2 linked regions of the Drosophila melanogaster genome follow. The protein of the gene in region 2 interacts with the protein of the main gene of each other region in a pairwise test. Each region holds a gene or a part of one and is shown on either strand. Other genes may lie near its edges.

Region 1 (5,199 bases), on a different chromosome or scaffold from region 2:
GTCGCTTGATTCAGTTTACACGATAAAAGAATTGTAAAAAAAAGAAGTGTTTCTAAAGCAAATATACATCAAGTGAAATAAATATTAAATAACACTCATTTCTTGAGGTGTAGCGTAAAAATAGCAAATGGGAGCAGCGGCAATAAAAGCTCCCCCATCAGATGAACAAAATAAAACGAAGGCAATGCTCGTCGTAACGTCGAAGTCAATTGAATTTAATGCCATACATTGCAAGTTAAATGAACTTAACTGAAACAAGAGAGAATGATCAAGTCGATTTCCTCGACTATCAGATACCCGTTACTCAGCTAGTGTGAATGCAAAATTTCATCATTTTTCTGGGATATCGATGATGTTGGGTAACAAAATGAGAAAATATTTTAACAATTTTCAAAAGTGTGGGCGTGACCGCTTTAACGGCTTTAGGGCGTTAGAGTGACGTGGCAAAAAGCCACGATGCGTGGTCCAAGCTTCCGGAGTTCAAAAAAAGATTTTTTGTACTCGGCTAGCTTTGCCCTACTCTACGATTAACGGTTATAAAAACACGCCCAACTTTTGGCTTCCTTCGCTGGTGTCAGTAGTTGTTTTTCAAGCGCCTCAAAACCTGCCCAATATGGCAGAATCAGAATCGAAAAGAACGTGCCCGCAATGCGTTCATGCAATTAAGCAAATTACGGAGAGAACAACGAAGCCGAAATCATTCAATTTACATCAAGTGCGATAAAGATGGGCAATGATGGGAAAACAGAGCCATGCTTTGTTCAATTCTTTGAGGTTAAGGTTTATTGAGCTCTGGCGATCTTTAAAAGGCAGTCTCGTTCGTCGAAAGAGCTCTTTATCATCGAGGGGTTAAAGATTAATGAGCGCTTGTGGATACAGCTTGAATCTGGTGCGACAACAATCTTTACGCAGATACACGCTAGCAAATATTTGATCGGCAAATTTGGCGCTCTAAGCAGCAGCAGTCTTAACAGAAAAAAAAAATCTAAAATTCTTATAGGGGAGACCGGAAAAGGCGAAGAACAGGCAAAAGCCCAAATGCAAAAACGGGTTTTACTTACTTAACCCAAGATTTTGCATAGTCTTCACAAGTCTTCCTACTAATTTTTATTTGCTATGCAAAAGCGGAATGAATAAGTATGAAATAGGTGAAATAACCATTCTACATTGTCAGCACGTTTTCCTGTTCATCGTATACATACGTACGTATTATGTATGTATGTATTTTTCTGTACTTTTTGTTCTCCCTGCCGTTCCATTCCAGCTCGTGCAGTTCGTTCTAAAAGCGTATTTACATACACACAACTATTGATAGACATACTGCATATACAATGTAGTTTTGTGCTAAACCCACAAATTCTAGACAAACAATGCGGTCTGAAAATTGCACGTTTGCATGTAAAATATATGGGGAGCAGCAGATGAAATTCATCACTGAATGCTCCTCCATCTCCTACCCCTGCAATCCACTCGTGCGTTTCATGGCGGGACACTTGGCGAATGTGGGTCAAAGTTGAACACAATCAGAGCTGAAAGCTTACATCAGTACTTTCGAACACGCCCACATTTCTGTGCACTCCAATGTGTATCCGAGTACTGAGTGCAAAAGCAAAACACTTGCCGCCCATTTCAGTAGTTAAAAAACAATGCACTTTGAAAAGCCTATAAAGAGGATCTTTTGTGCCATTTGCGTGTAGCATCAGATTCAGTCGTATAAATGATACCCTTGGGCGTATAATAATATTTAATATTCTGATACTTTTTGATATCATCTGCCGTTATCATAACGAAACGGTGTATACGATTTAAGTAAGCATATTAAACCGCTTTATTGCTTGGCATTTCATAAGATTGCACTTCTCTAAAAGATTGTGTAATATATATATATATATATGTATATATACATTGCGTGATATACATTTCCTGTTTTTGTCATATGAAGATTGCTCTGCGAAGGGTTTTTATCACTGGGCACTGGCGTAGAGAAAAAGGGTGCTGGAATAGCATATGTTATATGGTTATGGCTACCATGTGAGGATCGCCCGAAAGTCAGTCAGCTGGAAAGTGAGGTAAGCGCGCAAATGCACCACCTGCTGCGTCCGAAAGTGACAAAACGAAAACGAAACTCCTTCGGTTTTCTATTTTATTAATGGGTAAAGAAGAAGCTTCGTGCAGAGTTACACAGAGAGAAAAACTGCAAATGTATGACTCGTAAAAAAAGTGTATTTAGTGACCAATGGTGACCATTTGAAGCGGTATTTATGTAGGCAGCTGTTCTCTAATAATTCCAGTTATTCGTTAAATGCAATGACAGTGTTTTTCGTGTGCTGGCGATTATGCAGTCAAAACAGAAAATGGGTTTCCCATCCCATCCATAAATGTCACTGTACTCCCCGCTTATCGCTTGAGGCTTGAGTAAACAGTCGGAACAAACGTAGCATATCGGTTTATGCAATACTTTTTGAATTGTACAATAACTATTGTGCAGTCGCCAAGTTTCCCCTTTTGCCTTATACTTGCAGTCAGCCGGGCAAACATTTAATTAATTAACAAATGCGACCTTGACTGGAATTTCAATTAAGTAAGTAGCTTGAGCAAAACTTTGATGAGAATGGTGGAGTGATGTTACATATGTATGTATGTTTGCAAAAGCAAGCAGTTGTCAGGGTGATGTTGTGGTTAAATATCAATTGCGGGTAACTAACCTTTTGGTGATTTCCGATTCGTTCCGATCCGATTCGTTTCGATTCAAAAAAAAAAAACCGATCCGCAAAGTTGGTTTAGTGGTTTTTTTTTGTCTTTGCCTTTTTGGTTCGCAGAGGGTGGACCAAAACAGTTAAAAGTTAAAGAGAGTGACTAATGCCGCACGCACACAGTCGCACTCAATTTGTTGTCATACACACACAGAGAGACAAGCGCACACTCGCGGGCATCAACTTTGCACTCTTCTCACCCCCTCTCGCTCGTTCACTCGCATTCAAGGTGGTTAACGAGAGGTGAGCCAACAAAAACAACAACAGCAGCAGCCGCGGAGCGCACTCACACACACGCGCTAAATAGCTGAACAGCAGCTGCAAAAGTAGTAGCACGTATCCGCAGAGACAAAAACGAAGAAAGCAGGAGATGGAGAAGGAAGTGCGCCTGCAGCTGCGACAATTATCACCCGATTATTTCGCAGCGTGTATTGCGAAATGTGCGCCTTCGATTTGCTAAATACTTTTGCTTAATTATACGCACGCACACACACACCAAGGCACTTTCCCATAACGAATTTAATTCAATTCAACGACGTGCTGCACGAATCGCTTTCAGCTGTGCATTTAATAGCGATATTTGTCGGCCTTGATATGCGTCGATGTTTTTCAATGGTGTCGCAGAAGAGTTATGGAATAATTTAATTATTTTTCGTTTTTATTGCGCCGCGAACGCGTCCGTTATGTTGATTCTGCCAGAGTGACCGTGGCTTGCAGTCGAAATAATCCAGCGATTAAAAGTTTAATTTTCCCGCGGTTTTCAGCACTGTTTTCTATCGATTAATTTAAATGCTTAGATGTGTTTCCACTGGCATCATGGTTATAATAGGTTTTAACTTGTTTGGTTCCTTTTGAAAGTACTTAATCTAATTATACTCTCCTTGACTAATTGCTTTGGAAAATGTTGATAGCGAAACCTTTGTTTTTAATAAAAGACAACTGTTTCTTCTCTTGAAATCTCTAGTGTGAAGATGCTGAAATGACCCACGATGTAACCGTTTCTCCGGTTAAATTGCAACACAGTCTGACCAGATCAAGGTGCCCAAGAAAATACTTCCAAATTAAAAGCAAACTTTGCTTTCCGCATCCCTTAGAAAAATAGAATCCCGATATATATTATTTGGACTGCTCGAACGCCGCCGACGAGCCCAAAAACGCGCGCACATTTACAACGACAACAATACAAACTTGAGCTCAGTACGTAAACTTTTTTGACCAGCTGCCGTTAGAAGCAAATCAAAGCTGCGACGATGGATGACTCACGCGAAGAAAGCCAGTTCATTGTGGACGACGTGAGCAAGACGATTAAAGAGGCCATCGAGACGACCATCGGCGGTAACGCCTACCAGCACGACAAGGTGAACAACTGGACCGGCCAGGTGGTGGAGAACTGCCTGACGGTGCTCACCAAGGAGCAGAAGCCCTACAAGTACATTGTGACCGCCATGATCATGCAAAAGAACGGTGCTGGACTCCACACCGCCAGCTCCTGCTACTGGAACAACGACACCGACGGATCGTGCACAGTACGCTGGGAGAACAAGACCATGTACTGCATCGTTTCGGTCTTCGGACTGGCCGTCTAGAGTGGAGGAATGGCAGGACTGCCGGAATTCGCGATGAAGATGACTTAAAAGGGGGAGGGACTAACAAGATTGCCGTCGTACACCAGCACACACCAACAACACAAATACCATACTTTTTTGATCGGCCATCCATCCTGCTGTAATAACAAAATTTATTATGGAGCACTTGAAAACCTTGTCGTCACTTCCAAGCAATTAGCAAGCAACTATTCCGTTGCCAGTGTACTCGCCTAATGTTATTCTTGATTTTCAATCTAAAAACGTAAATAAAAAGTGTATAATACCGTAGCATAATAAGTTAATCATTGCAAACTGTTTTCAATGGGTCATCATTTTTTGGGTCGTGGGAATATTTTTCGTTTCCATGGCAGCAATTGGCCATTGGTCTAAAATCGATTTAAATTCCCAGGCATTTGTTAAAATTAAACTTTAATGGTCTTTCTCTTATTTCTTTATTTATTTTAGTTTATCAAAACCTTCTATCGTTTAGAATAATAATATTCCTTCTGGCATTGCCCAAAATAACAAAATCAGAAGTACCTGGATGCAATAAATGTAATTGGCGCGCCAGGGTTTGTTAAATCGATGGCGGGCGCGGTGTCCTTGAAGATACTCCTACTTCTTGCGCTGGAAGCGACGGCCCGACTTTAGAGCCGGAACCTTGCTGGGCAGGCGCAGGCTAAGGATGTCCGAATTGGATTTTGGCAGAGCGTTCACAATGTGGGCGTACTGCTTGATCCGAGCCTTGGTGGTGGCCAAAGCACGGGAGAGGACATTGATGTCCACTTCGAACTTCTCACTGAGGAGCAGGGCCATCACAATAAAGTGTGTCAGTGCCTTTTCACTGCTGAAATTGGTGC
Region 2 (8,553 bases):
AAATGAAAAGTAGTAGGTATGGGTTGAGTAAAATACAAAACAAAAAAAAAAAAAAAATGAAAAGAAAAAACAGACTGGCAAATAAGGAGACGCGAACTTGACTTGCCACAGAAGGCGCAACAAAATTGAAAACCATTAGGATTAATGTTTAGTTGAAAGATTTGCGCGTTAAGCCATTTTTACATGGCTGCCTTCGGCTGCTCCGATTGCTAATGTAGTTTATGTGTAGGAGTGGGCGGTGGGTGGCGCCTTTGGATTTCCCGATGCCAGGATGGCTCTTAGGCTCCCAGGGAGTATCCTTAACGCTAACTGACGTTGGCTTCTGCTGCGGATGCTGTTACTGCTGTTAGGCTTAAGGCGAGACGCTCAAACGACATGTAAAATGTGACATTTTAATGTATGCAAATGAGACATTGAATTAAGCCAACGCACCCACACAGGGGAAGGCAGAGAGCCAGGATAGGGAAAGAGGCGGATATAGGGAGAGCCGCAGGACCTGCAAGGATCCCCGCTGGTGTGCAAGCATTCACTTGGCTCCATATCCGTTTCCGCTGCTCAGCATTCCCATCTTTGTGCTCTGCCCTTTGTGATATGATTTGAAAATAATGAAAAGACAGTTACAGTCTTTCCACTCACTTTTTCGCCCCTCTACTTTTACGCCACCCCTATTAGAAACCCCATCACGTTTCTGCCCTGCCGGAAATGTCAACTTAACTGGCTTGAACTCGAAAAATGCGACAAAAGCAGCGCCACAGATGATTGAAAGTAATAAAGATAAAAAATATATACAAGAAATATTACTCTTCAAAACATGTGTATGGCTGTATATATTTCATAATATAAATATTTCATCCTAGAAATAGTACTGACAAATATGATGCAATTTATTTAACAAATATTTTTAAGGCAAGCATTTTTTCAAATTACAAATACCTAGCTCTGGATTGTAAATATTATGTTTGTAGAGTAAAAATAATAGAATTCCGAGGTCCCCTCTAATAACAAACAAGTAATCCTGAGTGGGGACTTCTTGGCAAATTTATTAATTTCTATTCCGTCTGCGTGCTCCAATTTGTTATTGTCGCCGCTTTTGTCTTTCGCCAATGGACTTGTTCGATTGTTTTGGTCTTTGGCTTTCAATTTGTTGATTGTTTTTCTTGGGATTTTCCCAGGAATTTGTTTTGAGGGAGCTGGATTTCCGTCCACACAAAGAATTCTGTAAAAATGTTTGAGTATGAAATGCGTAAACTTCTTGTTTGGCGTCAGATTTTCTGAGAAATGCTGGGGAAACATTTAAGATATTTGTTACTTCACTTGAAAGTTCTTGAGAAGTAAATGGAATAAAGAGAAAATTTCTTTGTTAATTTCTTTGTTTGGTAAAAGAGTTTTTTTGATTACTTAAATTAGCTTTTAATTAGATTTGACAAAAAAATGTGTGACCAGAACTTACCCGTAAAATTGCAATATTAAATACTTTCCCTGCTGGCAAGCAGAAGAAATCCCTTTACTGGAACTCAGGGGTACACTTGTTTAATTAGATCCCATCTATAAATTAATGCCGACTAAGGAACACTTTTGCCATTTGTGCTTAGATAAATCCCCCAGAATTTTTAGATAAATGCAAAAAAGATGCCCACATCCCCGGCCTGGCATTAATTATGACCCATTTTAAATGGTGCCCAAAAGAACCTTTTGTATATGCATACATATAGGGAGGGAGATTTATAACTCACCGATTAGGACTAGTATCACATGTAGGATATACCAGATCTGCAAACTCGTAGCCGCCGTCCTTGCTGTGGCCGATTTTCTCGCTCCTGGAGTTCCGTCCTGTTGCTCCATATTCATTCGCAGCTGTTGGTGGCATTGGTGGTGCTCGGTTTTATGGTGGTGCGGCAGCTGGTGCTGGGTGAATGGATCCTCCGCACACATCTTGGCTTCCGTTAAATGCCCCAAATGAGCCACGCCCACACGCACTAATGTCTTTATTAATTTCGGTGTGAAATTTTCACTTATTTCATTTGGACATTAAGTTGTTGTTTTGGGGCACCCCCTATACTGCTGCCTCTGTGCGGTAATAAAATGTTGGCTATTAATCACTTTTAATCGCGACGCGAACAAAAACAACGGGCAAGTTAAAGGCAAAAACTATTAAAGGACCTGAGGCTCCCCGCCCCATTTTGCTGCTTCCATCATATAGAGCGGCACTGCAGTCAAGTTAAAGACATAAATTTTCAAGCATTTTGGGAAAAGATTAATTACACAGCAGCCTTTTCTCGGTTCTGCGGCGGAAAAAGCGTGGAAAAGCGGAAAACGAAGGAAAGACCTTGCCACATAAATTCAAAATCCAGTTGCCGCTCGCTCCTTAACCCTTTGGTTGATTTAGAGCGTCAGGAAAACGCTTGCCAGGCAATTGAAGATGGTGACTAACAGCAAAAGCGGCGTTGGAAATTCACTAAAAGGTCGCCTTTTTTTTTCATTTAAACGGTGACATACAATATGCCAATTGCTTTAATTTTAGTAAGCCACAATCCTTCAAGTGCCTAACCACGATACTTATTTATAATCCAAACTAAGCACGCGCAGCTAGCTGTGCAATTATCATAAGCTAGTTAGGCGCTGTTTATTAAATGAAATACCAGGAATTTGGTTGCGGATTGGGGTCGAGCCACTGGGAACAACTCATATGTCAAGATTGGCAAAATTATGGCCTCATCTCAAACATACGTTAAATCGAAATTTATTGGTAATAGGGTTATTCGTTTCCAAATTGTTATTTTATTTATGACAGCAATTAAGGTTCAATAACATGCGGGCAACCAGATTTGAATTGTGATCAGTGCAATAATGAAAAACATTTCAACATGCATCTATGAAATTAAAAACATGAGATTAGAAACATTTTAAATGACGTTTGAAGTCTTTGTAAAGTTCCCTTTCAACAAAATAAACTATGAAAATATATTTTTTAACTTCTCGATCCATTTGGTATTTCTCATTAAAAGTCAATAAAACACGTACTTTTAGAAATTACACACGCCCACATTACACGAATGCTGGAAATGATTTATGGGCATTTGCAAATCCAGTGACAGCACGAACAATTAACAAATATTTATAAATATACTGTCATTCCACGACAGATAGCAATAATATTCAATTTTTTCCGATTAATTCCCTTTTTTTGGCATTTCACTTTGTTTAAAGCCAACAATGGCTGGATAAACACAAATAAATAGCCAACAAGTCAGGTGCAGATAATAAAGCAACAACATCAGCAGCTGTTGTTTAAATTACAGCAACAATAAAATCGCGTACACCCACAGAACCAACAACTCTGGAAAGTGGGACGCCCAAAAGCAGGCAGTACTGAATAAATGGTCAGGACCCCGCCTTATATACAGGACACTATATCTATTCCAACACGCCCAAGCAACATAATTAGCCTAAATTGAAGTAGAAGCTAAACAAGGGAGATGGCAATAGCGGCAAAAAGTGAAAAAAAAAAATACAAAATATAATTAAAGATTAAAATGCTCTCTGGCTGAATGTGAAATTTATGGTGTCGAGTTTTTAAGTTGAAGTTCTTGGCCCGAATCAGGAAAATAAAGCCGCCGTGTTTCGGTCTTACGTCTTTAAGGATACCGCTTTAATAATTACATAGACTGTATGCTGGAATGCAAAACAAATCAGATCATGTCAGTCATTCAACTTAATTACTTTGTATACTACATTTTTCAGTTTTTAGCTATTGTTACAAAAATAATGTTTTGCTAGAACGTTTTTTTTTATATACAAAAGTTGTTTGGGAATGTAACCTTCCTTCATACATCTATCATAATATTTCTAAAAAAAAAAATGCTCACTTAATACCATAAAACCAAACTGTTTACTTTTTTATTTAAAGGAATGGCAAACCAACTACAAAAACTGACGATGAAAAAGCTAAGGCCTCGCTCTTACAAGGTTCAGTTTTTGGTTTCTCCACTTTTTCGGTTGGCTCGACTATTTTTAATTTTTGTTAGTTTTGGGGTCGCCAGATGATTACTCCTTGTGTTCCACTTTTCGCGTTTTAATTAACCGCAACCGCAACAGTTTTCTCAGTTTTCCCAGCAATAACAACAAATGCCTGACAAATGTTTTCGGCACGCAACAAATGCGGCATTTCGAGCGGGGGCTCAAAGATTTTTCATTTCCACGACCTGCACTTGCTCACATTTTCATTGAATACGTTTTTGTTATTATTGCCGCCACACTTGCACTCTTTCGTTTTTATTTGAGAGTATTACGGGGCATTCCTACTTTTTTGTAAACACGTTATTACTTTTAGTGACCGCTCGCTCTCGCACACGCACATGCACAAAATTTGAAAGTGTGCGTGTTATTCGATTGGCTCAGTTTTCAGTTTCGGGTTTCGTTTGGCTCCTTCACAAAGAGGGGATTGTAACAACGCGCGCGACAAAAATGACGTGCGTTCACTTCAAAGTTGAAATAGCGACTAAAAAAAACTCATGCTCACAGTGCCTAACACGCGGGTGGCGCCCTCACTTGGCCAGCACTGGAAGCTTCTTGGGGGAATGTCCTTCGACGTAGCAAAGCGCAAGAGAAAAAGCTCGTTTTGCTCTCCTGCTCTCTCCTTATGCTTGTTTGTACCATTTCCAATTGTTTCAGATAACAGTGGCGTGTTTTTAACATCGAAACTTTCCTATAAATTATTAGAATGTGTGGTATGGCATACATAGGGAAATGTGCTGAAACATTTATGGCTTACAATAGCATAACATTTAGCCAACACCGCATACAGTCTGCCACAATTATTGCGAACCTTACGGGGATTTTCCTAGTATACGAAATGCTGTTAGCTATTTTAGTTTCAGGGCTACTTATACAAATCATGTTTTTTCGAATAATTACTAATAATACTTCAGTTTATAATTGATAGAATTTTAATAAGCTATCGAAATATATAAATACAATAAATGCTGAGAACATTATTAATTTCGGAATGAAAATTTATTTCAAGCTCGTAACCTCGTGTCGTTGTTCCCACGCACTATTGACTTAACCAAATTTCAAGGCTAGCGAGGCAATGCAATTAATTTGCACATTGTTTTCTGGTGCTCAATTAAACGCCATTAAACGAAGGACAAATAAAATTGTATATGCAAATAAATAAATGCGAATGTATAAGCTCAAATGAGAGTTGGCCCGAGAATCAAATATAAATGGCGCTTTGCTTAATGAAATAAAATGTAAATTTCACTGTCACTGTAAACCACTTAAAAATAAATATGAAAAATTATCACAATATTTAATGAACCAACAGACCAGAAAGCCAAACTCCAACTGATGACGTCAGAGCAGGGGGAGGGGGGTGGTGCGAAAGGGTTTTTAAAATTATCCCTGATATATGACTTTATCTATGCGATGCACACAACTGAACGAGGGGATTCGGGTTAAATGAGCGACTTTTGTTTGCCCACCAGCAATGACAATGAGCAAAAATGGAATTCAAATTGAAAATGAAAAATAATGCAAATAATTGAACTTTTTGCGCATTAATCGAGTTAAAGTTTCGTTTTGCATGACAAATTTAAAAGTGCGTTAAGAACATTACAAACTGTAGACCTTTTAAAGGTTTAACCCTGGTTTTCCGACGAGCTTCCTTCCTTTGAGTTTCCTGCCCTTCCGCCCTTCCACATGCAAATGTTGACCTTAAAACACTTAGAAAAGTTGCATATAAGAAACAAGTTTAAATTTATCAGTTTTCTATTTATTTCAAGTACTTTTATACGCGTTTGTCGTACAGTAAAAAGTTATACTAGGTTAGTTAGAGCGAATACAACCAGTACTGGTTGACGGCACAGAGTTTTTGAACACAAGTATAGTATGGAGTTCGAAGTAGCTACTGTGGTGCAGTTTTATTAATATGACGCAAGGACATTTACAGCAATCCCTATAACTTTAAAATGTTAAATACATTTTTCCTCCTACTTAACCTTCCCTACATTGAGTAACGCGTGATGGATTTTGACTACCACTGCATTACTTTAATTTAATGTATGAATACTATGAAAACTAAAAGTAATACCATATACACAAACTCAAGTTTAACTCCTTTAGTAACTAGATATTTTTTTGTCTGCATTTGCCTGGTACTACAGCTTCTATTCCAACTGGAAACTCTCTCCGGGACAGTGGCATTTCACTTCATTTCTGTGCCGGGTTGAAATCGGTGCAGCACTTGAAATTTTTAAGCTTATGTGGCTTTCAAATGGGACAACGCTACGAGAGGGTTAAGGGGCTAGAAGGAGTATTTAGCTCTCCTCTCTGTGTGCTTAGCTAATGGTTCAGTCTAGCTTAGGTAGCCCTAAAGGAGATTCCATTCCCAGTCAGAAACATTTGTGGCCTGCATAGCAAATCCTCCAACCAATAAAAGCACTAAGAGAAATATAGAAGTCTCTAAATGCACTTTAAGTTATTTGCTAATATTTCATATTGCTAGATTTTATGTTCTCATCTTTTCTCAACAAGAGCGTGTAGATTGGATTTCGAGTGAAATCGTAAATGAAACGAGTCAAGAGGGGAGATTCTTGATTTGAAGTAAACCCAAAGAGAGCCAATTAAAATTCAGTTCTTCTTATTAGCTGAACTGTATATCTTACCTTAAAGGTATTTATCAATACGAAACTGTCGTATTGTATTGTTACCCATTGATGGCCTTTAAAGTAGGCTCTCTCCACCAAGCTGAATTTACGTGTGATAACTTTACGCGCAGCTGTCATAAAAAATTCGCGCAAAAGAAATGTTTTCGGCCTGGCCCAAAGGGAGTGAATATGGGGTTGGGGGTAGGGTTAAGGGCACACTCATAAATTAATACGAAATACACTTAAACAAGAACAGCAAGAGAACGAGAAAAAAAGGAGGGGAAAAACTTTTGTACTCATTGATTTATAGCGTTAATATTTCTGCTTTAATGCATCAAATAAATTAAATTGTCTTACGCACCTTTCAGCAGTCGAAGCTGGGAAAACTTTGATGCCACTTCGGGGCAGGGTACGTGTCCAACAGAGCATTATTTCCAGCAAAAGAAAAGAGCGAGCAGCAAATGCATAACTTCGATTTTGTAAAAACAAATAAATATTCATAAAAAATTATTCTTTTCTCTCCCCCTTACACTCTTACACCCTGTCTCCCTCTTTCGTATTCCAGTCTTCGAAAAAAGCACTTTGCGGATCTTCAGTCGCCGCCGCTGTTTTGCATACAGAAGGAAAAAGTATGGGCAAAAGGCGTTTGAATTATAAATATTCATTTATGCTAAGCAAGGTGTTCGTTGGCCGGGCAGGGGGCTCTGGGGCGGGAATTTCTCCAGGTGTATTCGGGGGCGTTACCTTCGTCACGCCAGTTGCCTCCCCGCTTTTTTTTCGGCTGCTCCTTTCACTTCTGTTTCTGTCTTGGCCTCTTTACCAACAGGTCGTATGATTGATTTAATTACGGTGTAAAGCGTGCTATTTTCAGCCATAGCAGCAGTCTTCTTTTTTTATGTTGAGAAGAGTAAACATGCTGCATTCAGACTTCTGTTCTTACCTACAATATATTATAGAAATAAAATTCGTTCTTTATTCACTAATTTTGAATCAAGAGCAATCAAGCTAATAAATCGAAACAAACTAAATTATTCAATTATGTGTTGTCTCGCGAGCAGTCTCCAGCATTAAATTCAATAATAAAACTTCCTAATTGAAGGCTTCGTGTAAGGGCACTTTTTGGTATTTTAAGACATTCCATGTTTTGACTGTAGTGTATTCCCACTTATCGCTTATCTGGGCTTTAGTAATCTAGGTAGGTCATTAAACTCGCTGCTCCCCCTTCCTTTTGCCAACGGATTGCTTATCGCAAAAAAGCCAAATGTTTGCAATTTATGGTCGCTGCTTATTGTGGCTGCCTTCACCGCTGCCATTTTACCACTGCGTTGTTAATGCCGAATGAAAAGCTCAGCTAAGCGCCAACGCCCGCATCTACACATAATTTCCGTTTTCCTTTGTGGCTCCCACAGCATCGGATGGGTAAAATGGGGGCGTGGCACAAGGGAAACAAACAAGCGGCAGTCGTACTTCATGTAATCAACATTTTAATTGCGGAAACGGAACTCGCACACACGCCCAGACATCGTGGCGTATGTGGAGTATCTGTAACACATTACGCATACGCAATGTATGCAACACTCTGTTTTGGCCGCCGTTGTGTTTTTTCTGCTTTCCATCACATTTTCGTCCTTGCTACTTTTTCTGGTCCACTCTTTCTGGCAATCGCAAATCTAGCTGCCTCTCTTTTTCGCTGGAATTCATTACATCAAATATAAAGAAAGTTTTAGGCAATTTGCCAGAAGTCCTGGGAAAAGAGAAGAGCACCGAAAACCCATTTCCCTCCCGCACCACGAAGGAAAAAAAGGAATATACTATATACCCACTTAAACGCTGCAGCATAGCTGCATGCAGGTAGCCCAAATCTACTTAGCTGATGGTGGTCGCCCGGAGGGAAAAGGTAAAAAGG

The links. Proteins that work in one complex are often made in the same cells at the same time.
Region 1: the proteins of beat-IIIa (region 2) and Dlc90F interact in a two-hybrid assay, tested with the Drosophila melanogaster proteins (one large-scale study listed by BioGRID).

Annotation. Positions count from the first base shown.
Region 1 is NT_033777.3:18,295,419-18,300,617, forward strand, and holds Dlc90F (dynein light chain 90F), read left to right. Parts: upstream 1-3,810; 5' UTR 3,811-4,003; coding exon 4,004-4,339; 3' UTR 4,340-4,626; downstream 4,627-5,199. Other genes in the region: Polr1E (RNA polymerase I subunit E), read right to left, coding at 4,955-5,199. UniProt on the Drosophila melanogaster protein: Acts as one of several non-catalytic accessory components of the cytoplasmic dynein complex that are thought to be involved in linking dynein to cargos and to adapter proteins that regulate dynein function.
Region 2 is NT_033779.5:17,126,997-17,135,549, reverse strand, and holds the start of beat-IIIa (beaten path IIIa), read right to left. Parts: upstream 4,527-8,553; 5' UTR 3,926-4,526; intron 2,068-3,925; 5' UTR 1,933-2,067; coding exon 1,734-1,932; intron 1-1,733.